Diceros bicornis minor: one gene and its partner. The protein of the gene in region 1 interacts with the protein of each later gene in a biochemical or structural test. Links are inferred from orthologs where the notes say so. Each region holds a gene or a part of one and is shown on either strand. Other genes may lie near its edges. The genes, in order: COPS7A and COPS4.

What was found.
Region 2: the proteins of COPS7A (region 1) and COPS4 form a complex in vitro, tested with the Homo sapiens proteins (2 studies listed by BioGRID). The link is inferred for Diceros bicornis minor from reciprocal best matches to the Homo sapiens genes COPS7A and COPS4.

The regions. Positions count from the first base shown.
Region 1 is NC_080756.1:55,002,459-55,014,971, reverse strand, and holds the start of COPS7A (COP9 signalosome complex subunit 7a), read left to right. Parts: upstream 1-6,735; 5' UTR 6,736-6,842; exon of another isoform or gene 6,843-6,954; intron 6,955-7,321; 5' UTR 7,322-7,363; coding exon 7,364-7,525; intron 7,526-7,548; exon of another isoform or gene 7,549-7,583; coding exon of another isoform or gene 7,584-7,667; intron 7,668-8,869; coding exon 8,870-8,945; intron 8,946-9,176; coding exon 9,177-9,265; intron 9,266-10,520; coding exon 10,521-10,723; intron 10,724-11,344; coding exon 11,345-11,450; intron 11,451-11,602; coding exon 11,603-11,754; intron 11,755-11,922; coding exon 11,923-11,962; 3' UTR 11,963-12,513.
Region 2 is NC_080747.1:67,676,934-67,689,906, forward strand, and holds the start of COPS4 (COP9 signalosome complex subunit 4), read left to right. Parts: upstream 1-7,269; 5' UTR 7,270-7,364; coding exon 7,365-7,438; intron 7,439-12,973. Other genes in the region: LIN54 (protein lin-54 homolog), read right to left, coding at 3,969-4,083. UniProt on the Homo sapiens protein: Component of the COP9 signalosome complex (CSN), a complex involved in various cellular and developmental processes.

The DNA of each region.
Region 1 (12,513 bases):
CTAGGATCCCCATTACAAGACTGAACAGAATTGGTGATACCAGGCATTTCTTTATCAGATTAATAAGTTTCCTTCTAGTTTTCTAAAAGATTTTTCTTATCACAAATGGATGTTTATTTCATCACATTTTTCCTGTATTTATTGAGGTAATTGTGTGATTAATTCCTTTAATCTATTAACATAATGAATAAAATGAATATATTTTCTAATATTAAGCTACCCTTAAATTCCTGACATAAATTCAAGTTAGTCTTGGTGTATTATCTTTTTTGCACATTGCTGAGTTCAGTTTTGCTAGTGTTTTATTGAAGACTTTTGTGTATCTGTTAATAAGTGAGATTGGCCTGTAATTTTTCTTTCTAGTATTGCCCTCATCTGGTCTCATTATCAAAGTAATTCTGGCCCTGTTGAATGAGTTGAGGAGTGTTCTTGCTTTTCCTATTTTCTGGAAAAGTTTACATATAAGGTTAAAAGGATCTGCACTTTGTAAGTTTGGTGCAACTTGCCTGTATGATGTTGTTCTTAACTCTTTCTTTTCCTTTCATATCTCACATCTAATCCATTTGCAAATTCTGTTCACTTTGGCTTTAAATTAAATTCAGCATCCAACTACTTCTCACCTCCACTGCTACCACCTTCGTCTAAGCCACCACCATCTCTTGCCTGGATAATTGCACACAGGCCCCCCTGCTGTTCCTCAAACACATCAAGTATGTATGTTCTCATTTCAGAGCCTTTGCACTTGTAGTTTGCTCTGCTTGGAGCATTGTCCCCACAGAAATCCATGACTTGCTCTTTTTTTTTTTTTTTTTTTAAAGTCTCTGCTCCATTGCCACCATATCAGAAAGGCCTTTCCTTACTACCCTGTATCAAGTAGCAAATGTCTCCTGCGTTCCCCATCCCCCTCTCCCTGTTTTGTTTTTCTTCATAATATTTATTACCTCCTGACTATTTATGTATGTATATATGTATTTATTTGTTTTTTGCCTGAGTCTCACCACAAGAATGTAAATACCAAGAAGGCAGGTATTTTGTGTATATCCCTAGTAACTAGAACAATGGCTGGCAATAAGAGGTGCTCAATATATGCCTTTTGAATCAATGATGAATATTTTATTATGTGTCTGACTCCTTGAATGTCAGTCAGCTTCTCCACTTTATTTCAGTGTATATTGTGTTCTATCCTTGGCATTAAAAACACAGCACCTGGCATAAGGCCTTGTACATAACTGTTACTTAGTAACAAACGAATGAATGAATGTTACAGCCTAGCCTTTGCTTGAGTTTAATTAGCTCCCATCCTCCCCTTGGAGATCTTTATTTTTCTTGCCACTTCCCCTCTTCTTTCCTCATTTCTAATCCCTTTTTTTCTTTCTCATATCCCCTCCTCCTCCTCTTCTCTCTCTGCTCTTTCTAATCTCACTCCTTTAGTCCATCCCCTCTCCTTTCTTTCTCTAAGTTCTACTTGTCTACTTATTAATTGTTCTTTCATTTTCTCCTCTTACTCCTCTTTGTCTTAGAGAACCATAAAACATCAGAATCAGGGGCCGGCCCAGTGGCGCAGTGGTTAAGTGCGCGCGCTCCACTTTGGCAGCCCAGGGTTCTCAGGTTCGGATCCCGGGTGCGCACCAACTCACCGCTTGGCAAGCCATGCTATGGCGGCGTCCCATATAAAGTAGAGGAAGATGGGCATGGATGTTAGCCCAGGGCCAGTCTTCCTCAGAAAAAAGAGAAGGATTGGCATCAGATGTTAGCTCAGGGCTGATTTTCCTCACCAAAAAAAGAAAAACAAACCATCAGAATCAGAACTGGCCTTACAGATTTTGTGGCCTAATTGCTCACTTTGCAGATATGGAAGATGAGATACCAAGAGATGGCACAATTTAAGGTCACAGCTAGTTTAAGGCTGAATCAGGACTAAATCTCAGGCTATCTTTTTCTCCCTCTTCTCTTCTGTCTTTCCTTTCTGCTTTTTATTTTCTTTCTTAGCACAGTGTTGGAATCAGACAAACTTGCATTTGAATCTCAGTTCCACCACTTATACTGGAAGCCTTCAAAATTTATGTAACTTCTGTGATCCTCAGTGTCCTTACAGGTTAACTGAGATATTAATAGGCACCTCAAATGGTTGCTGTAAAGACTGAATAAAAAGTTGAACAATAACAACAAAAAACCCCTACAACTTACATCATACTTAATGGTGAGAAACTCGAAGCTTTCTCACTAAGATCACGTACAAGGCAAGGATGTCCCCTCTCACCACTTCTCTTCAACATTGTACTAATACAATAAGGCAAAAAAAGTAAATAGAAAGTATACAGATTGGGAAGGAAGACATAAACGGTCTTTGCTCACAGATGACATAATCATTTATGTAGAAAATCCAAAAGAATTGACAAAAAAACTCCTGGAACTAATAAGCAGTTAAAGCAAAGTTGTAGGATACAAGGTTAATATACAAAAGTCAATTGCTTTCCTATATACCAACAATGAACAAGTGGAATTTGAAATTAAAAACAGAATACCATTTACATTAGTACCCCAAAAAGAGAAATACTTAGGTGTACATCTAACTATATATATAATTTTTATGAGGAAAACTACAAAACTCTGATGAACAAAATCAAAGAACTAAATAAATGGAGAGATAATCCATATTCATGGGTGGGAAGACTCAATATTGTCAAGATATCAGTTTATCCCAACTTGACCTATAGATTTAATGCAATCTCAATCCCAATCCCAGCAAGTTATTTTATGGATATCAACAAAGTGATTCTAAAATTTATATTAAGAGGCAAAAGACCCAGAATAGCCAACACAATATTGAAGGAGAATAACAAAGGTGGAAGACTGACACTACCTGACTTCAAGACTTACTATAAAGCTATCGTAATCAAGACAGTGTGGTATTGGCAAGAGCATAGACAAACAGATCAATGGAACAGAATAGAGAGCCCAGAAATAAACCCCCATAAATACAGTCCACTATTCTTTGACAAAAGAGCAAAGGCAATACAATAGATCAAAAATAGCCTCTTCAACAAAGGGTGCTACAACACCTGGACATTTACATGCAAAAAAATGAATCTAGGGCCGCCCCGTGGCTTGGGGGTTAAGTGCGCGCACTCCGCTGCTGGCGGCCCGGGTTCAGATCCCGGGCGCGCACCGACACACCGCTTCTCCGGCCATGCTGAGGCCGCGTCCTACATACAGCAACTAGAAGGATGTGCAACTATGACATACAACTATGTACTGGGGCTTTGGGGGGGAAAAAAAAAAGGAGGAGGATTGGCAATAGATGTTAGCTCAGGGCCGGTCTTCCTCAGCAAAAAGAGGAGGATTGGCATGGATGTTAGCTCAGGGCTGATCTTCCTCACAAAAAAAAAAAAAAAAAGAATCTAGACACAAACTTTACATACTTCATAAAAATTAACTCAAGATGGATCACAGACCTCAATGTAAAATGCAAAATTATAAAACTCCTAGAAGATCACATAGGAGAAAACCTAGATGACCTTGAGAATAGTGATGCTTTTTTAGATACAACACCAAAGACACAATCCATGAAAGAAATAATTGATAAGCTTGACTTAATTAAAATTAAAAACTTCTGCTCTGCAATAGACAATATCAAGAGAATTAGAAGACAAGCCACAGACTGAAGAAAATATTTGCAAAAGACACATCTGATAAAGGACTGTTATCCAAAATATACAAAGAACTCTTAAAACTCAACAAATAAGAAAACAAACAACCCAATTAAAAAATGGGTCATTCCATGACACATTGATCTAAGGAAAAAAAAAATGAGTCAAAGACCTTAGATACTTCACCAAAGAAGATATACAGATGTCAAGTAAGCATATGAAAAGATGCTCCACATCATATGTCATCAGGGAAATGCAAATTAAAACAACAATGAGATACCACTACACACGTATTAGAATGGCCAAAATCTAGAATACTGACAACACCAAAAGCTGACCAGGATGTGGAGCAATACAAACTCTCATGCATTGCTGGTGGGAATGCAAAATGGCACAGCCACTTTGGAAGACAGTTTGGTGGTTTCTTACAAAACTAAACATACTCTTACCATATGATCCAGCAATCATGCTCCTTTGTATTTACCTAAAGAGGTGGAAAACATGTCCACACAAAAACCTGCACATGGATGTTTATAGCAGCTTTATTCATAATTGCCAAAACTTGGAAGAAAGATGTCCTTCAATAGCTGAATGGATAAATAAACTGTGGTACATCCAGACAATGGAATACTATTTGGCACTAAAAAGAAATGAGCTATCAAGCCGTGAAAAGACATGGAGGAACCTTAAGTTGAAAGAAGCCAATCTGAGAAGGCTACATATTGTATGATTCCCACTCTATGACATTCTGGAAAAGGCAAAACTATGGAGACAATAAAAAGATCAGTAGTTGCCAGGGGTGGGGGGTGAGGAAAGATAAATAGGCAGAGCACAGAGAATTTTTAGGGCAGTGAAAATACTTTGTATGATATTATTATTATTATTATTTGTGAGGAAGATTAGCTCTGAGCTAACATCCATGCCAATCTTCCTCTTTTTGCTGAGGAAGACTGGCCCTGGGATAATATCCATGCCCATCTTCCTCTACTTTATATGGGACGCACAGCATGGTCTGACAAGCGGTGCATCAGTGCACACTGGGGATCTGAACCCAGGCCGCCAGCAGCGGATCGTGTGCACTTAACCACTACACCAGGGGGCCGGCCCCTGTGCGATATTATAATGATGGATATATGTCATTATACGGGTGTCCAAACCCACCCTTAGGTAAACTACAGACTTTGGGTGATTACGATGTGTCAGTATAGGTGCATCCTTGATAAAAAATGTACCATTCTGGTAAGTGATATTGATAATGGGGGACGTTATGCGTGTATGGGAGCAAGGAGTATATGGGAAATCTCTGTACCTTCCTCTCGATTTTATTGTAAACCTAAAACTGCTCTAAAAAATAAAGTCTTAAAAAAAAAGTTGAACAAATAAAGACCTGGCACATAATAGAACATATGTTGGCTCTTTTCTCATTCTTTCTTCATATTTTTCTTTTTCCTTCCCTCTTTAAATTGATAAGACTGGATTCATTAATTCTTTGGTTCCTCCAAACTTTGGATATTTTCTTATGCCTTTGATCTCTTCTCCTCACTTTTTTTTTTTTTTGGTGACGAAGATTAGCCCTGAGCTAACATCTATTGCCGATCCTCCTCTTTTTGCCTGAGGAAGATTGGCCCTGAGCTAACATCCGTGCCCATCATCCTCTACTTTATATGTGGGACACCTGCCACAGCATGGCTTGATAAGTAGTACGTGGGTCTGCGCCTGGGGCCTGAACCTGTGAACCCCAGGCCGGCAAACCAGAGTGTGCAAACTCAACCACCACGCCACGGAGCGGGCCCCTCTTCTCACTTTTATGTGTAATCTCTTCCATTCATTTCTTCTTCTCTTTCTCCTCCTCTGCCACTTCTTCCTCCTTCTTTTTCTTCTTCTCCTTCTCTCTCTCCTTTCCCAGTTTCTGCTTCTCATTTTCTATCATAAACCAAGCCATGTGGACCATAAACTTTGAGCTTCAAGTCCCTTCAGCTCCAGCAGTCTACCAGTCCTGTGATTTTCTCTTCATTTATGTTCTCTTTTCCCACTTTCTCTCTTTCCATTACTTATAAATTACTTAACTTCCCTGGGCCTCAATTTTTCCATTTGGAAAATGGAAATAATAATAGATTATTATAACCATCAAATGAATTAAGTAAAGCTCTTAGCTCAGTGCTTAACACAAAGGCCTCCAAGAAGTCATTAACTTTATTCTCATTTGACCCTCTGCAAGCCTGGTATGAAAGATAAAAGTGTAGAAATGTTAGCTGTTTATTTTTTCCTAAAATACAGTGGTAAAATGGGAAGATGCTTTGGCTTTGAAAAGACCTGGGTTCTAGGCAAATCTCTGAATTTTTATGAGCCTCAATTTCCTCATCTGTGAAATGAGAATAATAACATATGCCTTCCTTCCACCTAGGGTTTTTTCCTCCTCGAGGAATTAAGAGTCAATATACAGGAAAGCATCACTCTACAAGTACATGTAATCACGATAGACAGTGTCCTGGAGTCACACTGGGGGCACAGTATAGTTATGAGGATTCAATAAGATAAAATTTTAAAAGATGCCTAACCAATAGTATGCACTCAATACATATTAGATATTATTATTTGCTTTACCTTTTCCACTTCTTTTCTCTTGTTCCTCAAAAAAATGAGTGGTTGAACTACCCAGGTGATCTCTGGTGCTAAACTTCTATTATTGATTTTTGTCCTCTTCCTCTCTCCTCTTCATCCCCCCACCTTTTTTCTTCTTCTCCCTCTCTCTCCATTATAGCTTTCCTCTCGCCTCAGGCACCCGTGCAGCCTGGATCTCCAGATATCAGGCAGCTTAGAGCTGCCACAGAACCACCAGGTACCGGACTGAGACCACGAGTTCCCTCTGCATTTAGCGTCTTAGCGCTCGTCCAACAATAAAGTTTTATTAAAACAAAGCAGAAAAAAAGGCACCCGTCCTTCTTTCCTCAACAGCCAATCAGCAAGTAGAATGCTTGTGTCACTCACAGGAGCTTCAGCAGTCGGAAGGAGGGGGCGGGGCATGTTGCGCTCGAAACCGGCCTCATAAGAGCGGAAGTACGGCCGGAAGTCAGCCATAGAGTGTAGTGGCCAGAGTGCCCCTGCAGAGAGGTCTCAGGAAGGGCTCGGAGCAGCTGCCGGAGGTGACGGAGCGGCGGCCCCGCCCGGTGCACTGGAAGACGAAGCTTCCAGGTAGCGGCCCGCAGAGTCTGACCCGGGGTAGGACGGGGCAGGCTGCGGGAGCCCACGGTCCCTGGCGGCTTCTTTAAGGGAGGGGGCGGAGCCACGTGGAAGGACTGTGAGGGTGACATCACGTGGCTGGGGGTACATTCGGGGCACCAGTGGCGATTTGAGGGAGCGTCGTCGTTGGGGTGGACATCATGTGACACTCCTTCCCCACTGCATCCTTGCCTTAGGGTTCAAGGGGGTGCACGTGGTGGGGCTTGAGATTAGGCCCAGGGATGGGAGAGGGTGGGCGTGGCCATCCTGTCTCAGCCAGACTTCCATCAAAGTGGCCAATTTTAGGATTCCTAGATCCGAGTTTTAGACAGCTCCATCTCTGATTCCTCACTGCAGACACTCAGTGCCTCTGCAGACCAGTCCCTAGCCCTTGTACTTCCCCACCTCCCAGTGTTGAGGGACTTCCAGCTTCACATCCTCTTTCCTTGCAGCTCCAGACATCCTGAGCCCAGGTCCCCCAGCTCAGTGCAGCCATGAGTGCCGAGGTGAAGGTGACAGGGCAGAACCAGGAGCAGTTTCTGCTCCTGGCCAAGTCGGCCAAGGGGGCAGCGCTGGCCACACTCATCCACCAGGTGCTGGAGGCCCCTGGTGTCTACGTGTTTGGGGAACTGCTGGATATGCCTAATGTTAGAGAGGTGGGTTCCTGGCCTGAATAGCCCACAGGGAAACTTGGGCTAAAGTTTGGATTTGAGGATGAGTGGGCAGGGCACGTTTTGCAACCCCATAACCATTCAGTTGAACAAGAATGCGTTGATGATTAACTGGCAGCTTGCAAAAGTAAGTATGCAAGTAAACCTCCTACTTTCCCTTTGGGGATGAATGATCTGTAAACCCCAGTATTTTCATTTTTAAGCAAAAGAGCATGTGATTCAGAATAGGAGACCTGATTTCAGCTTGTCTCCGCCAGTGTAACATTGATCGAGTCACTTTTATTTTAGGGCCTCAGTTTTCTCTTTTAAAAAGGGAGCTGATACTGCCCTTCACTGTTACTGTAGGAATCAGTTGAGATTATGGAAAAGTGTAAAGTCTGGGACAAATGGAAGGAACAAACATGAAATTGGCATGCCCTCTTCTCCCCCTTTTGCATGATAGCTAATTCACTTAAGTTAGATAAGTTAGGAGGTTTCTTTTCCTCAAAGACACGTGGCTAGAAACACAGCAGAGAGAACTGTTCACACAGAAGTAGCAGAGTTAAGAGTTTAAAGTCCAGAGTGTGTGGGTCACCAAGATGTATGACACCAGCAAGTATTTGTTTAGAGAGCTGACTACGTGCATAGCTCTGCTAGACCTAAGTGGGATACCAGAGGCTGGGTCTGTAATCTTGTTGAAAAGAAACATATTCTTGGGTAACAACCTTAGGCAGGGTTTGATTGATTAAGTGCCAGAATGAGTGATTAGTGATAGGAAGAGAGGAGATCTGGGTGGGCTGGCCTGGGTGATGAAAGCCTTCTGGGTGAGGCAGGTCTGAAACAGAGGCCACAAATTCCAGTGCCTGCCTAGGCCATGCAGCTATCAGAGATGAGAGAGGCTGAGGGAGGCGTCTTTGGTGAATTGGGGAGTACAGCAGACTGCCTAAAGATATTCAAATGCAGAAATATTAAACACACTCTAAGGACCAAACAACGCCGTTTATAATGTGTGTGTGTGTGTGTGTGTGTGTGTGAGACACTGAACACTCTGAACGTTTTCACCTCTGAATTTAGGGTAGGAATTGGAGGCCTGTGGAGGAACAAGGCGTTGTGGATTGGGGGAATAGTGTAAGCAAAGGCCTGAAGGGGGAAGTGAGGCAGAATTGGGAAATTCTATGGGAATTTGGGAAAGTGATCAGAGAGGCAGAGAGTTCCTTTTGGTGAGCTGGGAGAGCTAATGTTGGAGGGGAAAGATGGGGCCAGAAAGTGGAGTTCAAACCAGGGTAAGGCTGGGAGGTTGGAGAGAGAGGCCCTTCCTGTCACCTCTTCTCCCTGCTTATGTTCTTGCAGCTGGCTGAGAGTGACTTCGCGTCCACATTCCGGCTGCTCACGGTGTTTGCTTATGGGACATATGCTGACTACTTAGGTAACCAGAGGGGCTGGAGCTCCGGAGTCATGGAGGTGGGAGAAGGGCAATTTCTGGAGGGACTTAGAAGAAATTCCTGGCATACCTTACTTAGGTTCCTTAGGTACGCAGGGTCATGGTCAAGACCTGAATTGGCATGGAGAACACACACAAAGAAATGCAAAGGAAGAAGGCTAGGGCTTCCCACAAAAGTGAAGTCAGGATTTCCTACACTTTGTCCTTTTTTCCCAGCTGAAGCCCGGAATCTTCCCCCACTCACAGAGGCTCAGAAGAATAAACTTCGACACCTATCAGTCGTCACCCTGGCTGCCAAAGTCAAGGTGAGTGACAGTCCCCCCCAGGCCTGAGCCAAAGAGCACTCTTCGGTATGTCCCTTCGTAAGGGCCCATCTGAAGGGAATTTGCACTCAGACAGCCTTTGACCATACTGTTGCTTCTTCCTGCCTTCCCCCCACATCCCTCTAAGGTCTGTATCTAAACTTCATTACCTGCAGCCTTTTAGGCTGAGTAGTATTCTCTTAGTTTTCTGTTTTGTTTTTATTTTTCAGTCAACTTAAGTTCTAAGTAAAACATCTTTTGTGCTTTGTGTCAAAATGACGACTAGGATGCTGTTCTCTGTGTTGTTCAACAATCACCCTCCTCCCCACTATATAAAGTCCCATGGGAACGAGGGTCTCTCTCCTCGTTGAAGTGCTAGGCTTCTATTTGCTAGAATAAGAAATGCATAACCCAGGGGCCGGCCCGGTGGCGCAAGCAGTTAAGTGTGCGTGCTCCGCTGCGGTGGCCTGTGGTTCACCAGTTCAGATCCCAGGCACGCACCGACGCACCACTTGGCAAGCCATGCTGTGGCAGCATCCCATGTAAAGTGGAGGAAGGTGGGCATGGAGGTTAGCCCAGGGCCAGTCTTCCTCGGCAAAAAAAAAGAGGAGGATTGGCAGATGTTAGCACAGGGCTGATCTTCCTCAAAAAAAAAAAAAAAAAACATAACGCAGAAGTATCTCCGTATTTCCTGTTAGGTTCAGTTTTTTGTTAACTCTCCCCCTCCCACCCATCTGCGCTCTCCCAATTGTTACTTGACTCTCCCGTCATTGTCGTGATTTAAGTCAGGCTCCTTATTGCGAGATGCCTCTTTGGAAGGAAGCGAAGTATAAATGGTCAACAGAGTAACTCAAAACCTCTGCCAAAGCTTATGTCAAGGTGTGGAACCTTGGTCAGCCACACATTATGTCAAGCTGGTCTTGACCAAGGTCTGTGTGCTATCCTGAGCTGTGGCCAGAGGGTTGACACTCAGGCAAATGTCACTTTATTCCTCTGTGGTGTGGGAGGTAAGCATGGTAGGGGAGCATAATCTTATATTTTATTTAAGATTGTCCTTCTCATGTCCTTATTTTTCAGGTGGGAATACTTTTATTTATTTTGCCTTAGAACCAGCCTTTTAGAGAAAATTATTTAGGAGTAGGAGTGGAGGGCAGGCAGGTAAGCCTAGGCAGGGGGGAAAAGGAGGGAAGAAGAATCTTGGAAGCCCTTCTCTGCCATGGAACCTCAGAAATCCCAGCCCGACCTCCCCGGGCCCCAGTGTATCCCATATGCAGTGTTGCTGGAGGCCCTTGCCCTGCGTAACGTGCGGCAGCTGGAAGATCTTGTCATTGAGGCTGTATATGCCGATGTGCTTCGTGGCTCCCTGGACCAGCGCAATCAGCGGCTGGAGGTTGACTACAGCATTGGGCGGGACATCCAGCGCCAGGACCTGAGTGCCATTGCCCGAACCCTGCAAGAGTGGTGAGACCTGTGTCCTGGCATTGTCTCTTCTCACCCCAAGAAAGGGAGAGGCGCTTTGGATGGGGGATGGCTGGGCTGTGCTGCAGAGGTGGAATCCAAGAGGATGAAGAGAAAGGAGTGGAGGAGGGCCTGGGGGGCAAGAGGCAGGAGACCGTATCCTTGGTATAGAGATTGGGGGAGGGAAAGGGGAATGGTACTCTTAAGAAGATCCTCACTGGGAGATTGGTCACCTGTCTTAGGCTGGATTCAACCCATCGGTCTGTAACCAGCGCTGTCATAGGCCGTGGGCCTCTTACACTTCTGTGCTTCTCTTTGTGTTTTTGTCTAACTTTAGTTCATTAATACACCTTTTTTTTCTCTTTAGCATCTCCTGTCCCATTTTGGTTTCAGTTCCTACCCCCATCTTGCACATCACTCCAGGCACTTCCTTATACCTCTTTCATCTTACCTGGGTGTCCTTCCAGCTCCTGAGAATGTTGTTGCAGATGGTTTCCAGGTGCCCTGGTGAGGGTTCCTAACTCAGACAAGGGTTTGGATGCCAGGATCTAGGGTTCTTTCCGAGTCTGTTTTTCCTGAGTCTGTGAAACTTCTGCTGACACTTCTCTCTCCCAATTCCCTCAGGTGTGTGGGCTGTGAGGTTGTGCTGTCAGGCATTGAGGAGCAGGTGAGCCGTGCCAACCAGCACAAGGAACAGCAGCTGGGCCTGAAGCAGCAGATCGAGAGTGAGGTGAGCAGGCAGGGGAGCAGGACGGACCCACGTTCCTCCATCCTGGGCCCATTGTCCAGTTGGACAGTGGCTGTAGCAGACAGACAAGGTAGGCAGGGACTGTCAGGTTCTGGAACCTTCTTCATTATCCCCTATTCTTTTCATCTTGGTAGGTCGCCAACCTTAAAAAAACCATTAAAGTTACAACAGCAGCAGCCGCTGCAGCCACATCTCAGGACCCTGAGCAACACCTGACTGAACTGAGGGAACCAGCTCCTGGCACCAACCAGCGCCAGCCCAGCAAGAAAGCCTCAAAGGGCAAGGGGTGAGCCAGTGTGGCAAGAACTGCTCGCTTCCGGAGTGCCCTGCTTTTACTTCAGAGACCCAGCTGCCCTCACTCCCTTTAGTCATTTGCGTGGGGGTAGGGAATGGGGGGAGCCTTCAGGGGTTAGGGGATTCCCTGCAGCCTCTCTCTTTCTCTTCCCCTTGCCAGGCTCCGAGGGAGCGCCAAGATTTGGTCCAAGTCGAACTGAAGGGACTGTCATCTCTTTCCTGGGGATGTGGGGTCCCAGCTGCCTGCCTGCCCCTTAGGAGTCCTCAGAAAGCCTTCCTGTGCCCCTGGCCAGCTGATAATCCTGGGTTCATGACCCTTCACCTCCCTTCTCCTCTCCCCCACCCCCAAGCATAGATCAGACCTCTAGGGAGGAGGCAAGTACAACTCATGTTTTTGTTGGTACTTTTGGTTTTATGTGACTTTGTTATGTGTCTGTTGTCCCCCTTCCCCTCCACGCCATGCTGTCTTCCCTGTTTCTTTAAGAGCCAGCGTCTCTCCCTGTTTATTACCTGTCATTGAGTAGGTGGGGCTGCTCCATCTCCAGCATAACCCACACATGTTCCTTTTCCTACCACCCTATCCTTGCATGCCTAATCCCCAGGTCCTACTCCCTACCCCCAGACTATTTGGGCAACATCTGAAGAGCCATAGGGCTCCCACCTTTATTCCCACCCTGAGAGTTCTGGGAGCCAATCTGCCATTCTAGGAGTCACTGGAAACTTTCATCCTAGAATCCTGTCACACTACGGT
Region 2 (12,973 bases), on another chromosome or scaffold:
TTACCACAATGTAAGAGTTATGTGAGGAGCAGTTAACAATAGGATTTCACAGGAGGTGAGGTGGCTGACTGAAAAATGTTGAGTCTGATGAGCATTCAGGAGGGCTTCCACTGCAGGAAGTACAAAAATGGCTCAAGGGGATCCCACAACGATTTTCTCAGTGGCTTTAAGCCAAAAACGCTTAAGGCAAGGGGGGTATCCCCATGCCACAGGGTCCAGTTGCTGGCTATAATACCCTGTGGTTCGATGGTTGTCCCCAGGTTATTGGCTGAGTACCCCAAGGACATTCCCTTCCTTTTCATATACAAAAAGGAAAAAGAAAATCTGACAATTGAGAGGTCCAAGGGCAGGTGGGTTCATTAAACTCTCCCTTAAGGCCCTTAAGGCTATGTCGTCTGGTTCTTCCCATAAAATTGGGTCAGAGTTGTTGTTCTTTAGTCAAACATACAGAGAGAAATTTCGAATCCAATTTTGGCAATAATCCACTAGCCCGAGAAAACCTTGCAGTTGGTGCTTAGTTTTGGGTTTGGGGAAACTTAGGACACCATGAAGCTTATCTGGATCTAGGTGTAGCCTTTCTTCTGATATAAGATGCCCTAAATATCAAACCTGGGTTTGGGTAAACTGCAATTTCTCCTTGGTGACCTTATATCCCTTTAAGGCTAAAAGCTTTAGCAAGTGGATGCTGTCTTCCTCTGAGAAGACTTTGGAGGGAGAGCAAAGAAGCAAATCATTCACATATTGCAAAAAAGTAGAACCCCTAGGGAACTTTATATCATCCAGATCAGCCTTCAAGATTTGTGAGAAATAAGAAGGGCTCTCAGTAAAACCCTGAGGCATTACTGTCCAGGTGAATTGTTTTCCTTCCCAAGTGAAGGCAGAAAGATGTTGGCTAGCTTCATCAACCGGAGTGATAAAGAATGTACTACATACATTAATTACTGTAAAGAATTTGCTTCCAGTGGGAACGGCTGTTAGTAGCATATGAGGGTTAAGAACAACAGCATGTCTAGGGATAACAACGTTGTTTATTGTTCGAAGGTCCCAGACAAAGCTCCCCCCTTGGCCCTTGGGTTTTCTCACAGGTAAAACGGGAGAGTTACAGGGACTAGTGAAGGGATAGTGAGGCCTTGAGCCTTGTAACCCTTTACTATGGACTTTATACCTTGAGAGGCTTCTGTCCTTACAGGGTATTGATTAAGTCTGGAGAGAGGTTTTGGGGGATCTATTTGAATCTTGATGGGAGGTGCGCTGTGAATTTTACTAATGTCAGTTGGAGATTTTGCCCATAAGGAGGATGGTAACTGATTCAATAGAGACAAACAGACAGTTTCCAGAATTAGCTCCAGTACCATCAGAGGAAGGAGCAAATAAAACATGACAAAGGGTCATTTAATTCACCTGCACAACTGTTTTAATAACTACTGTCAAATTCTAGAATTATTTCCCCTTTTTGAGAGAAAGAAAGTCTGGCATGATGCTTTTCCAAGATGTCTCAGCCTAATAAGTGAATAGGGGTGGAGGAACTAGGGAGAAAAGGGTGTGTGTCTCTCAAAGGACCTAAACAAAAGGGAACAGGTTCAGAGACAGAAACTTTTTGAGGTTTATTAGAAATTCCCACTACTTGAACTGTCTTAGTACTCCAAGGCAGGGCTGCGTTATAGTAGTGGTTTGAGCGCAAGAGTATGGCTCCAGTGTCAATTAGGACAGAAAGAGATTCATCCCCAATCTGGAGAAATGCTTCTCCAAGCCAATTAAGAGGGAGGATTAGGAAGAGCCTCTTTAGTTCCTTGGAGTCACATAATTGAGGACTTGGAGGACATTGGAAAGGCTGGTTAGAGGCCTGAAGGCGCCTGAAGTGTTTAAATTAGTAACAATCACTTTTCCAATGTTCTAGCTCTTTGCAATAATAGTAGAAAGTAGGGGGTTTTTGGTTTCGTTAAGGGCCTTCATTTGCTGGAGTTGAAGATTGGAATTTTAGCAGTCTTTGTTTTAGGTGACTCATCTGGAGTGTGAGAGAGCTGGTTTGTCAGATTAACTAAACCTGGAATGGATGGTTTCCCATTTCATCCTGGTCATTTTACTAGAAGGGAAAGGTCCCAGTTAGTCCACTAATAAACATACAGTTAAAAGCTACCCAGGGGGAATCAACATCTGAAAGATGACCAGAATTTTCTTTAAAAAAAACAATCTGAAGTCGATTATAATAGTCATGAACAGGTTGATCGAGTTTTTATGCACAAGCCTGAATTTTGTTCCAATCAACAGGGAAAGCCCTAGGAATTGCCAGATGAAGTCATCTAGCAATTGCCTGAGCCTCATCATTCAACAGGTCAGTGGGGTTGGTTTCCTGGTTGTAATTCTAGAGACCTGTCAAGATTTTCCCAATTAGTGGTTTTCATCCAAAGCTGGGACTGGCCTTCACCGACAAGCATATGAACTAGCTGATACAAGTCAGAGAAACCAGGTCAATAAGTTTGAATGACTATATTAAATACCTTAACAAATCTGCGAGGATCTTTAGTTACTTTGTGAAAATGCTTCACAGTTCAGCCTTAGCCCAGGGAGTATAAGAAATTAAGGGTTTAGGGCTGGCCCCGTGGCTTAGCGGTTAAGTGTGTACGCTCCGCTGCTGGCAGCCTGGGTTCGGATACTGGGCGCGCACCGACGCAACACTTCTCCGGCCATGCTGAGGCTGCGTCCCACATACAGCAACTAGAAGGATGTGCAGCTATGACATACAACTATCTACTGGGGCTTTGGGGGAAAAAAAAAAAGAAATTAAGGGTTTAGCCTTTGGATCCTCAAAAAGCTTAATTTTAAAGGGACAGGTTCGTACAGGTTCAGAGAATGAGGGAGTGGAGAGAGATTCAGGGAAAAGGGGAAGTTTGGCAAGAGAGTTAGTATGGGGGAACTGACGGTATGGAGAAGGCATAGACGGTACAGAAGGGAAGGAGGAAGATGCCATTGGAAGTGGGGCCTGAGTAGGAGGAGCGGGGGGAGAAACATGATGGCGCTGGAGGCAGGGCCCGAGACATAGAAGCCAGGGAAGAGGAACATGAGGCGTTGAAAGCCATTTTACCTTTCTTTAATCGTTTGTTCGCCTCAGTTAATCTGAAAATTTTATTTTGTAAAGAGGCAATTTTAGACCCCTAACAACATTTGGAAGCCTCAAAATACCAATCGAAATAAACATTCCATTCAGTTTTGGAAATTACAGAGCTATGGCTGTCCAATTTAGTTTTAAGAAAAGTAAGTCTGGGGAGTTCAAAAGTCTCCCACAATGGCCATTGGTGTCCTAAATTACTTTTGGTTAAATTGGCCCATTTAGTTAGAAATGTGCATGAGGAATGACTGCGGTTTCTAAACAGAAAATCAGCTGGGGTCCCTGTAGGGGTGGATGCCCTCAAAATATCAGATGACTGAGATCCTATTTCTTAGAGGTTTTCCTCTAGAGCAAAGTGATAATTCTCAAACAGCCTAAATAGCTCAAACAGCTTGTAACTCAAAGGGCCTGAACAGCTCCAACAGCCTGCAGGCTTAATACCAGCCAGTCCCTGTAGAACAGTCCAGTTTCATTATGGCGGATGGAAGGTCGAGAACAACTCACTTCCAATGAACAGTCCAGTTCCCAAGGGAATCAGAGCCAAGGTTGATCAACAGTTCCAGGGGACAGTCTGCTCCCAAGGGAGTCAGGCTGCAGGCTGGACAGCACAGTCCCAGTGAAACAGTCTGAAAGTTGGGCTGAAGGCTAGCACAGTTTCAAGTATGGGAACAGTCCAGTTCCAAAAGGTTAGCACAGTTCTAAGGAACAGCCTGATTCAGAGTCAGGGAGAAGTGCCCCCCGAGTACTCGCAGACAAACAAGGCCTTAACTAGAAAAGGACGAAGCCTTAAAATCTCAAATAAAGCCTGGAGAGCCTCAAATGCAAAGAGGGAGGAAGCTCGTATCCAGGAGAAAAGACTTACCCTCAAACCCCAGGGTCAGCGAGAAAATCATCGAGCTCCATGGGCTCTGTTGTGTGTACTGCACCAGTTTGCTCACCAGCCTCAGAGTCGTTGGGGGTCTTCTCTGGATCTCCATAGGGGCCACCAAAATGTTGGCCTTAAACAAATAGATAGCTAGTTATTTCTCCAGCAAAAATGGGTTTATTTGGGATCAGCAAACAATTGCAATTTGAAGTCTGCAACCATGGCAAGCCACGTGCAAGTCCCCACCAGCAAGGGAGGAGAAACTCTTTTATAGAGGGGAAGGGGAAGTTGGGAAAGCTATTGTAAACAAAGAGTTTGAGGTGTAGTGGGTCTTCACTGGCTGAGTTTTGACGGACTCTCATTGCTGAGCTTCTGGCTAGTCAAGAAGAGGCAGTCTGGGCTGGCCCCGTGGCTTAGTGGTTAAGTGTGCGCGCTCCACTACTGGCGGCCCGGGTTCGGATCCCAGGCGCGCACCGACGCACTGCTTCTCCGGCCATGCTGAGGCCGTGGCCCACATACAGCAACTAGAAGGATGTGCAACTATGACATACAACTATCTAGTGGGGGGCTTTGGGGGAAAAAAAAAGGAGGAGGATTGGCAATGGATGTTAGCTCAGAGCCGGTCTTCCTCAGCAAAAAAAGAGGAGGATTAGCACGGATGTTAGCTCAGGGCTGATCTTTCTCACAAAAAAAAAAGAAGAGGCAGTCTTTCTTCTTCTTTTGGGTTCTGCTATCTGGGTAAGGCATGAGAGCTTCCCCTTGTGGCCTCCCAACTCCATTTTAATGAGGTTTTTGTTTATTAATGTTCACACTGCTATAAGTAAAACCTAAAAATATGTAGTAGTCTCTTCGAAGTTGGGCAGGAGTAATGAGCAGTCTGGAAAGGGGAGGCCTTGTCATGTCAAAAAATTCAGTAAAATTGCGGCCTACAATAACTAGGATGGCAGACAACCTCCCTTCCTAGCTTGTAGCTCTAGTGGAGATATTTAGAAAGAGCCAGTTTGTGTGTGTGGCTGCTTCTTTTTTGCTTTCAGCAAGGTATTACAAGTAAAGTTTGAAGTCAGGGTAAAAAGGGAATAGAATGTTCCAGAAATTCTGGGGCTTCACTAAGTTGAAAAAGCCAACTGTTTATTACCCCTAAATAGCAGAAGAAAAGACTTAGCTTAGAGAATTCTCATAGCCCATTAAGACTTTTTGGCAAATGCACATAAACAGAAAACAAAGATAAGCTGAAGCAAAAATCAAATGAATAGAGTTCTCTTCTCATTTAAACCTATTGTTTTAGATGATTTCAAAGCTTCCATCACTAAAAGGAGGATGTTAAGAATGGACTGAGTATGGAAGCCGGAAAATAGGGCAAGTTTAATAACTACTAGAAAGAACTTTGGGTGTGGTTACTGGCACCAGAAACTGTCTGGAAGCAGCAGAGGTTACTGAATACTCAATGAAATTATATATATATTGAAAAACCTGGCCTACAAAAGCCCTCAATTGCTCAAGTCCTGAGGCATTTCCCCAAAGAGGGAATACTCTTCAACATCCAGTTAACTTGTATGCAGAGGGCAAAGCTTGGGCCCACAAAATACAACGGACAATGGAGATCCTCTCAGAGAGCAGAACTAGGGTCTAACCAAGGAACTTACTCCACTACGAGGATAGTGAGTATTCATAATTCCTGCCCAGGATTCCACCATTGCTATAGACCAGTAACTGCTGTATGTTTCCCATTTTTATTTTTTCTGAGTTTTACCTGGGGTTATCCTACTCCTGCTCCACTCTTGTTTTGTATTACACGTATGGGTATGGAGCAGATAATTTGTTTTGTAGTGTATATGTCTCTGCACCATAAAAAACCATATCCTAACCTGATGGAGAGGATTGTGCCTTATCAGACATCCTGGAATTTGAGCTAATATAGAAACTAAATGGGAAACTGAATTCTCTTTCTTAGAGGGTGCGAGCGTTCTACTGTAAGAAGGAAACACAGATATTTAGGTGGTCAGAGGGACAGATTGTAGTAGAGAGTGTTGACTGTTCCTCTAAAACCATCCTTTCCTTTTTCCTGGGCACAAGACTGCCAACTGGAAACTAAATTTCCAGTCTCACTGTTGCTAGCCATGGTCATGTGACTAAGCTCTTGCCAATAGAGTGAGATCTGAATTGATGTGGGCACTCCACATTACTTTCTTAAAAGGACTTCCTTATTCTGGGCTTCTTTCCTCTTCTCAATAGAGGGAACATGCTAATTATGACATATCAAGCTGGTAAAATTAGAACGTTTGACGTTCTTTGTAGGCAAGGCTGTAGAAAATTGCACTCCTACATATCGCTGGTAGGAAGGCAAAAAAGTACCATCCCTATAAAGTGCAATTTGGCAGTATCTATCAAAATTGTAAGCACATCTACCCTTTGACTCTCTTCTTGGAATGTATTCTACCTGTACACATATAAAATGATGGATGTACAAGGTTATTCATTGTAGCATTGACTAAAAACTATTTAAGTGTCTAGTTTAAGGATTAAATAAGCTACGCATCCCCTCATTATGTAATACTCTCCAGTTCTAAAAAAGAATGAGGAAGCTTTGCAGACTTATGGTAAGATCTTAGGAAAAGTGAAAAAATCAAGGGCAGACTAATGATATGGTGTGCTATCTTTTGTGAAAGCAAGAAAGGATAAAAATGTACTTTTATTTGCTTATATTTGCAGAAAGAAATTCTATACGGATATATGAATAATGAACATAATTACATATAAACGTAGGGTGACCATATACTTTTTCATCCAAATCAAAGTGTTTCTAGAGTGGAAGGGCGTGTTATTAATAATTACCCCAGGACAACAGATGGAAAATGCCACTGTCCTGGACAAACTGGGATATATGATCAACTTATACAAAAGGTACAGAGTGGGAGGGGGAATGGGGTCATTTTTTACCGTATTTTACAAAAGTGTCGGTCTTTGGTGAATTGGAAAAAAAACAGCTCCTTCTTTACCACAGGTAGTTTAAGGACTGCCTTAAAGAACGAGGATCGGTAAACTATAGACGTGACACACGGAACTTAATGAAAACGCGATAGTTTTGCATACCCGACACTTACCGGAGTTGCACAAGCGACACACTCCCTTGAAGTTCATCCTCCAATCCGAAGTGGGAGCGTGAGAGCCCCAGCCTGTGGGAGAGACCTGCTTGGGCCTCGGACTCGAGGAGTGGAGCTTCGCGTCACTCAACCCTGGGGGCGGACCCAGCGCAGGCTCCCACCGCGGCGCTCTGGCCCACAGAAACGCTACTCTGTGGCATCTCGAGTTCCCTCTGGCTGCACTCTGGAGGACTACACTCGTTTTCTTTCTGGCAGTGGGAGGCCCTGCAACCTCGGCTGAGCTGGAGGAAAGATGGCGGCAGCCGTGCGACAGGATTTGGCCCAGCTCATGAATTCGAGCGGCTCTCATAAAGATCTGGCGGGCAAGTGAGTACTTCTCAGGGGCATGGGAGGTGGGGAGGGAAACCACAGACTTGTTCTCCTGGGGTTGATGGCGGCTTTCGCATGTGAGGCTAGGCGCTGGCCTGACGACCAAGGGGGCGGGCCTGAGGTCGGTTATGGAGGCAAATGTTGGGATCAGCAGAAGGCTGAAGGGGACCTTGTGCAGGGATCCCTCGGGGCCCTAGACCTAGGGTGACTGTCAGCTCGTTCAGTCCTTGAGAGCATCCTTACCGGTCTCGTAAAATTCTGGAAGCGCGGTCTGAGGGACGACTGCTCCCACGGCCTTCTCAGCCTTCTCTGGTGCCTCTTCCCATCGCTCTCTGGCCTCTCACACCGAATTCTCGCCTCTCTTTGGACTTTTTTTTTTTCCTTTTTGATTGAGGGAAATTTATATTCTGGGCCTTGATGCAGAGTTTTGCGGGGAGATGGCTTTTTGAGGCTGGTGGGGGCTGAGGAGGTATGGCCGCTATCATGTCCAGAACCCCTCGGACCGTCTTCTGTGGGTCATTGTTTTGGGTACTCTCTCTCCGCCACCAGCTCTGAAAAAGGGCACATAGGCAGAATGTCTTCATAACGTGGGTCAGGATGTCTAGAGTAGTAATGTTTGCAGGAATCTGGATTGTTTAGGAATTTTGTCGGAATTTGTGTAGAAGGCTTAGGTCCACTCCAAGTTAAAATTTGTGACATGTCCCTCTCCTGCAAGCAGTTATTCAGCAGTGTTAATCATAGGTATTGTCCGTTTTTTCTTTGTAGATTTCACTATACTGTTCTTTTGTAATGAACGTGCATTCTGTTTAAAGTATGCTTCTCAAATTGATCCTAATATTTACATCCTGACAGCTGAGATCACTTTGATCTGTATTGATGGGATACACCTGCTCTAACCGGGCTGTTGGAACCTTGACTGTGCTTTATGTAGGCTGTGCTGCCTTTTCTGTGGTGGTGAATGTAATCTACTTTTATCAGTGGGAAATTTAGCTGTGTATCTTAGGCTTAACTATTTTGTGCTGCAATTTCTCCCTCAGGAAAATGGGGATAATTATAGGACTTATTCTTGTCTGAGAACGAAATGAGTATGTGTGTGCGTATACACTTGTGTTATATCACTTAGAACAGTACCCAACACTTAGAAAGTGTCACAAAATTGTTGTTATTATTACCCAGCTAGTAAATATATATTGACTTATTCCATGGGTTGGAAATAAGTTGAATATGTCTTCATGGCTTAATCTTCTTTGCATGTAATTTTTATAGAATGGATGAAAGTAAAACTAGCTTATATTTTCCCGCATGCTTGCTTGCTTTTTTGTTTGTTGAAGAAAAATAAGTGCGTTAGTTATCAGAAGAGATATAGTTTTTCAAGTATTTGCAGAATTCTGAAACTTAAGCTAAGCATTTACTTCAACTCTGAATTGCAGATAAACAGTAGTACCTATCTTATAGAGTGCTTCAGTTATTTATTGTTGTGTAACAAACCAAAAACTTAGTGTAAAACAACTGTTATTTCTCAGGATTCTTTGGGCTCTTTTGCTGGTCTAGTCTGGCCTCCCTCATGCAGGTGCAGTCAGCTGGCAGCTCAGCTGGGGCTGGTAGGGTAAAATAGACGCAGATGCACATCCGGCTGTTGGCTGGGTCTCACACTCTCTCCACGTGGTCTGTCATTCAGTAGTTTAGCTGAGGCTTCCTTACAGGGCCATAGGAGTGTTCCTGGAGGGTAAGAGTGAGAGCTGAAGGTCTGTTAAGGCCAGCCTTGGAAGTCTTGCAACATCAGTTCCCTGATACTGGTCAAAGTAAGTCACAAGCCCAGCCCAGATTCAAGGGGAGGGGAAATGGAGTCTACCTCTATGGGAGCAGTGGCCAAGTTATGTTGCAGAAGGGCGTGGTCAGAGGGAGGCATGATTCATTGGAGTCCGTTACTGTCACAATCTACTCCATGGGGTTATTGAGAATGTTAAATGAAATAATGTGCTTGATAACTGATAGCCAGTGTTTTGTGAGAAAAGTCTTGGCCTTGCCTGGTCCTATCTGGGCAAGAATGTGTCAGGGTATTTCTTTTCGTAACAAAACAGTTCTGCCAGCTAGTGCTTTATGAGAGAAACACTCTTGAAATATATCAGTAGTTTTAGGGTTTATGTTAGGAGCTGAGTAACAGGATTCTATATTAAGGAATCATGGAGAAAATTCTTTTCTAAAATATTGATACTCTGTGTTCCCTGCAGTTAGCAGGATATCTATAACAGAGTAGTTATTCAACAAATGTTGGTTAAATCAATGAATAGCTAGAAATGTGCAGAGCTTATATTTGAACACAGGTTTGTCTACTCTAAAAAGCTCATTTTTAACCTTACCAGCCTATACTGCTGCTGTTGCCAAAACTTCAATTAGAAATGCTTTCCTATAACTATGAATTAACACAACAGTCTAAAATCGAAATAAGAAATTGGCCATATGAGAAGCATATTTGCAGATTTTATAAACTGCTTTTGTACCTATTATGCATTGTGTTCATCATCTCATATAACGCTTTAGAAGAGGAGAGTCTTGAGAGGGAGCATTTGAGTAGATAGATAGCTGTTGTGATAGCCTGTCTTATTGAATTAGCTAAAACCTACTTGGTTCTTCGAAACTCAGTTCAGATGTTATTTCTTCCAAAAAGCCTTCTCGGAACAACCACCAGTACACACTCGTGCTCACCCCACACGGGACCTGGGTGGTTGCTCTTCCTGTGCCTACTGGCATCCTATATTTCCCTCTACTATAGCGCTCAACTGTTTTCTTTACTTGTCTGCTTCTCCAACTAGAATGTGATCTCTTTGAGGGCAGGTATGAGGTCATGGATTATAGGTCTTTGTTGAGTTAATCCTACAGAAATAGGACCTTTTTTTTCTTTTCTTTTTTTCCCGGTTCTGGGGTATGGAGGATCCCCAGAGGAGCATAGTGGGCCTTTGGAGTATAAACGTTTCATTTTACAGGAAGCTGTTAGCCTGGAGAAAGGAAAGTAATGGGAGACCTTTTAGCTGCCTTTGACTATTAGAAAAGCTGTTTTTCAGACAAGAAAATAGACTACTCTGCCTTATAGACGTAGACTTTGGATTAGAACTTTGTAATAATAGAGTGGAGTAGAACTGTCAAAAAATAGAGGATACACACACACACACACAACCAACCAACCAACGGAGGATATACTGTATAACTTCATAGGCCCCTTCTAACTCAGATTCTCTGGTTCTCTGTTGTTATTCCCACACACAACAGTTTTAGGGGTTTTCATCTCAAGAGTGAAGTTCCCTAACATCTAGTGTTCACTGTGCGCCAAGCACAACTTTACCTACATTTTTTAATCCTTAACAAGTAATATTGTTTACGTTATATATGAAAAAACTGAGGTATAGAGGTGAAATACCTTGCTCCAAGGTCACATAGCTAGTGGCAGAGACAGAATACAGCCTGTCAGCTTGGCTCATAGCCCTTAACTCTAATCGACCTTTTGGCCTTTTTCACCAAACTGGACTACATTTCAGATAGTGATTTTTTGCTTAGAGTGCCTGCCTTTCCCTAGTCTTTGCCACTTCACACTGAGTTGAAGTATTTAGAATGCTTCAAGATCGACCTCATTAGTAAATTATTTCTTTCTCCTAAAAACTATATTAGCAGCTACCTGTTTTTAAGATTTTGTCTTTAATTTTCTGCAGCTTCGTTATCATGTATCTATGTGAATTTTTTACTTTTCTATGTCGGTTAGCTTTTGCTGTGAAATAAACCACCCCAAAACTTAGTGGCTTAAAACAGCAATCATTTATTTAGCTTACAGTTCTGTTGGTTGGCAGTCTGGGCTGGGCCCAGCTGGATGGTTCTTCTCCTCTCCGCATGGTCTTTGTTCCACACGGGCTTCCACGTGTCAGCTCTGCTTCTGTGTCGGCTGGGGCAGTAGAGGTGACTGGGCTGCATATTTCATTATCTAGTAGGTTAGCCTGGGCTTGTTCATGTGGCAAAAGCAGGGTTCCAAGGGATAAAATGCATACAGGGCCTCTTGAGGTCTAGATTCGGAACAGGCACTTCACTTCTACTGCATTCTGTTGGTCAAAACAAGCCTAGATTGGGGCCGGCCGGTGGCGTAGTGGTTAAGTTTGTGTGCTCCACTTTGGTGGCCTGGGGTTTACAGGTTCGGATCCTGGGCATGGACCTATGCACCACTTATCAAGCCATGCTGTGGCAGGCATCCCACGTATAAAGTAGAGGAAGATGGGCACGGATGTTAGTCCAGGGCCAATCTTCCTCAGCAAAAAAGAGGAGGATTGGCAACAGATGTTAGCTCAGGGCTAATCTTCCTCGCCAAAAAAAAAAAAAAACCAACCCCCAGATCACAGAGTGGGGAAATAAACTCTACCTCTTGATGTGAAGAGCTGTAAAGTCTCATTGCAAAGGGGCATAGATACAGTGGGTGAAAGAATGTGGCCTCTTTGTAAATGCTCTACTGTGTTATCCTGGTTGAGCTTCCTTGTGTTTTTTAAATTAATGAATTGGATCCTTTCATTGTCCTGGAAAGCGTTTCTTGAATTAATGAATTGGCTTCTCATTGTCCTGAGAAGTTTTCAGCTATATCTCTTTAAATGTTGCCTCTGTCCCGCCTGTTCTATTTTCTCCCCTGGGACTCCAGTGAAACCCTCTTTAGGCCCCCTTCCTGTGACCTCTGTGTCTCTTACCCTGTCTTCTGTACTTACCCATTTCAATGCTTTATTCCGGATAGGTTCTTCTAACCTGCTTTATAGTTTATCTGTTCTTCAAGTGCGTCTAATCTGCTAAGAACTCCATTGAATTTTTAAGTTTGGTTATAATATTTTTTAGTTTTATAGTTTTTGGTGATTCTTTTTTCAAATGACACTTTTTATGATTACCAGTTTCTTTCTGAAAGTTAAAGCTTGTCTTTGTTTCCATAAACATGATTATCATAATTGTATCTGATGACTCCAGTATCTGGAGTCCCTGTTTGTTGCTATTGTCTGTTGCTTTTGTTCATTCTAGCTTATATTGTCATGTGCCTTTTAATCTTCATTTGTTAAGCAAATTATTTAAAAATGTATTTTTAGAAACAATTGGAGGCTAGGATGCTACCTTTCAGGGAGAATTTTCATTTCCTTCTGCCAGGCACCGAAAGGTGCTAGCAGTCTAGGACCAAGACTTCAGAATTTTTTGGTTTACCTGCGTGATCCTTGGAATAGAATTTGTAATCTTACTCCAAAGAGCTAGTGTTTCCTCCTTTGACAGGCAAAGAACTCAGATCCCTGTTATTCTAACTCTAATAGTTGGCTAGAAATTGCAACTTGCCTCTCAGTTTTTCCAGCAGATGGCAGAATGCCCCAAAACAGAGCCCACCCACTCCTCCCCACCAGAAGTCCTGCTCTACTTCTCAGCTGTCTTTCCACAGTTAGCAAATGCTTTCAGACAGAAGCTCTGCTTCACCTCTTTGTGCTCTTATTCTCACCTCTTTTCTGTTTCTTGTTAGGATTTTATGCTATTAAA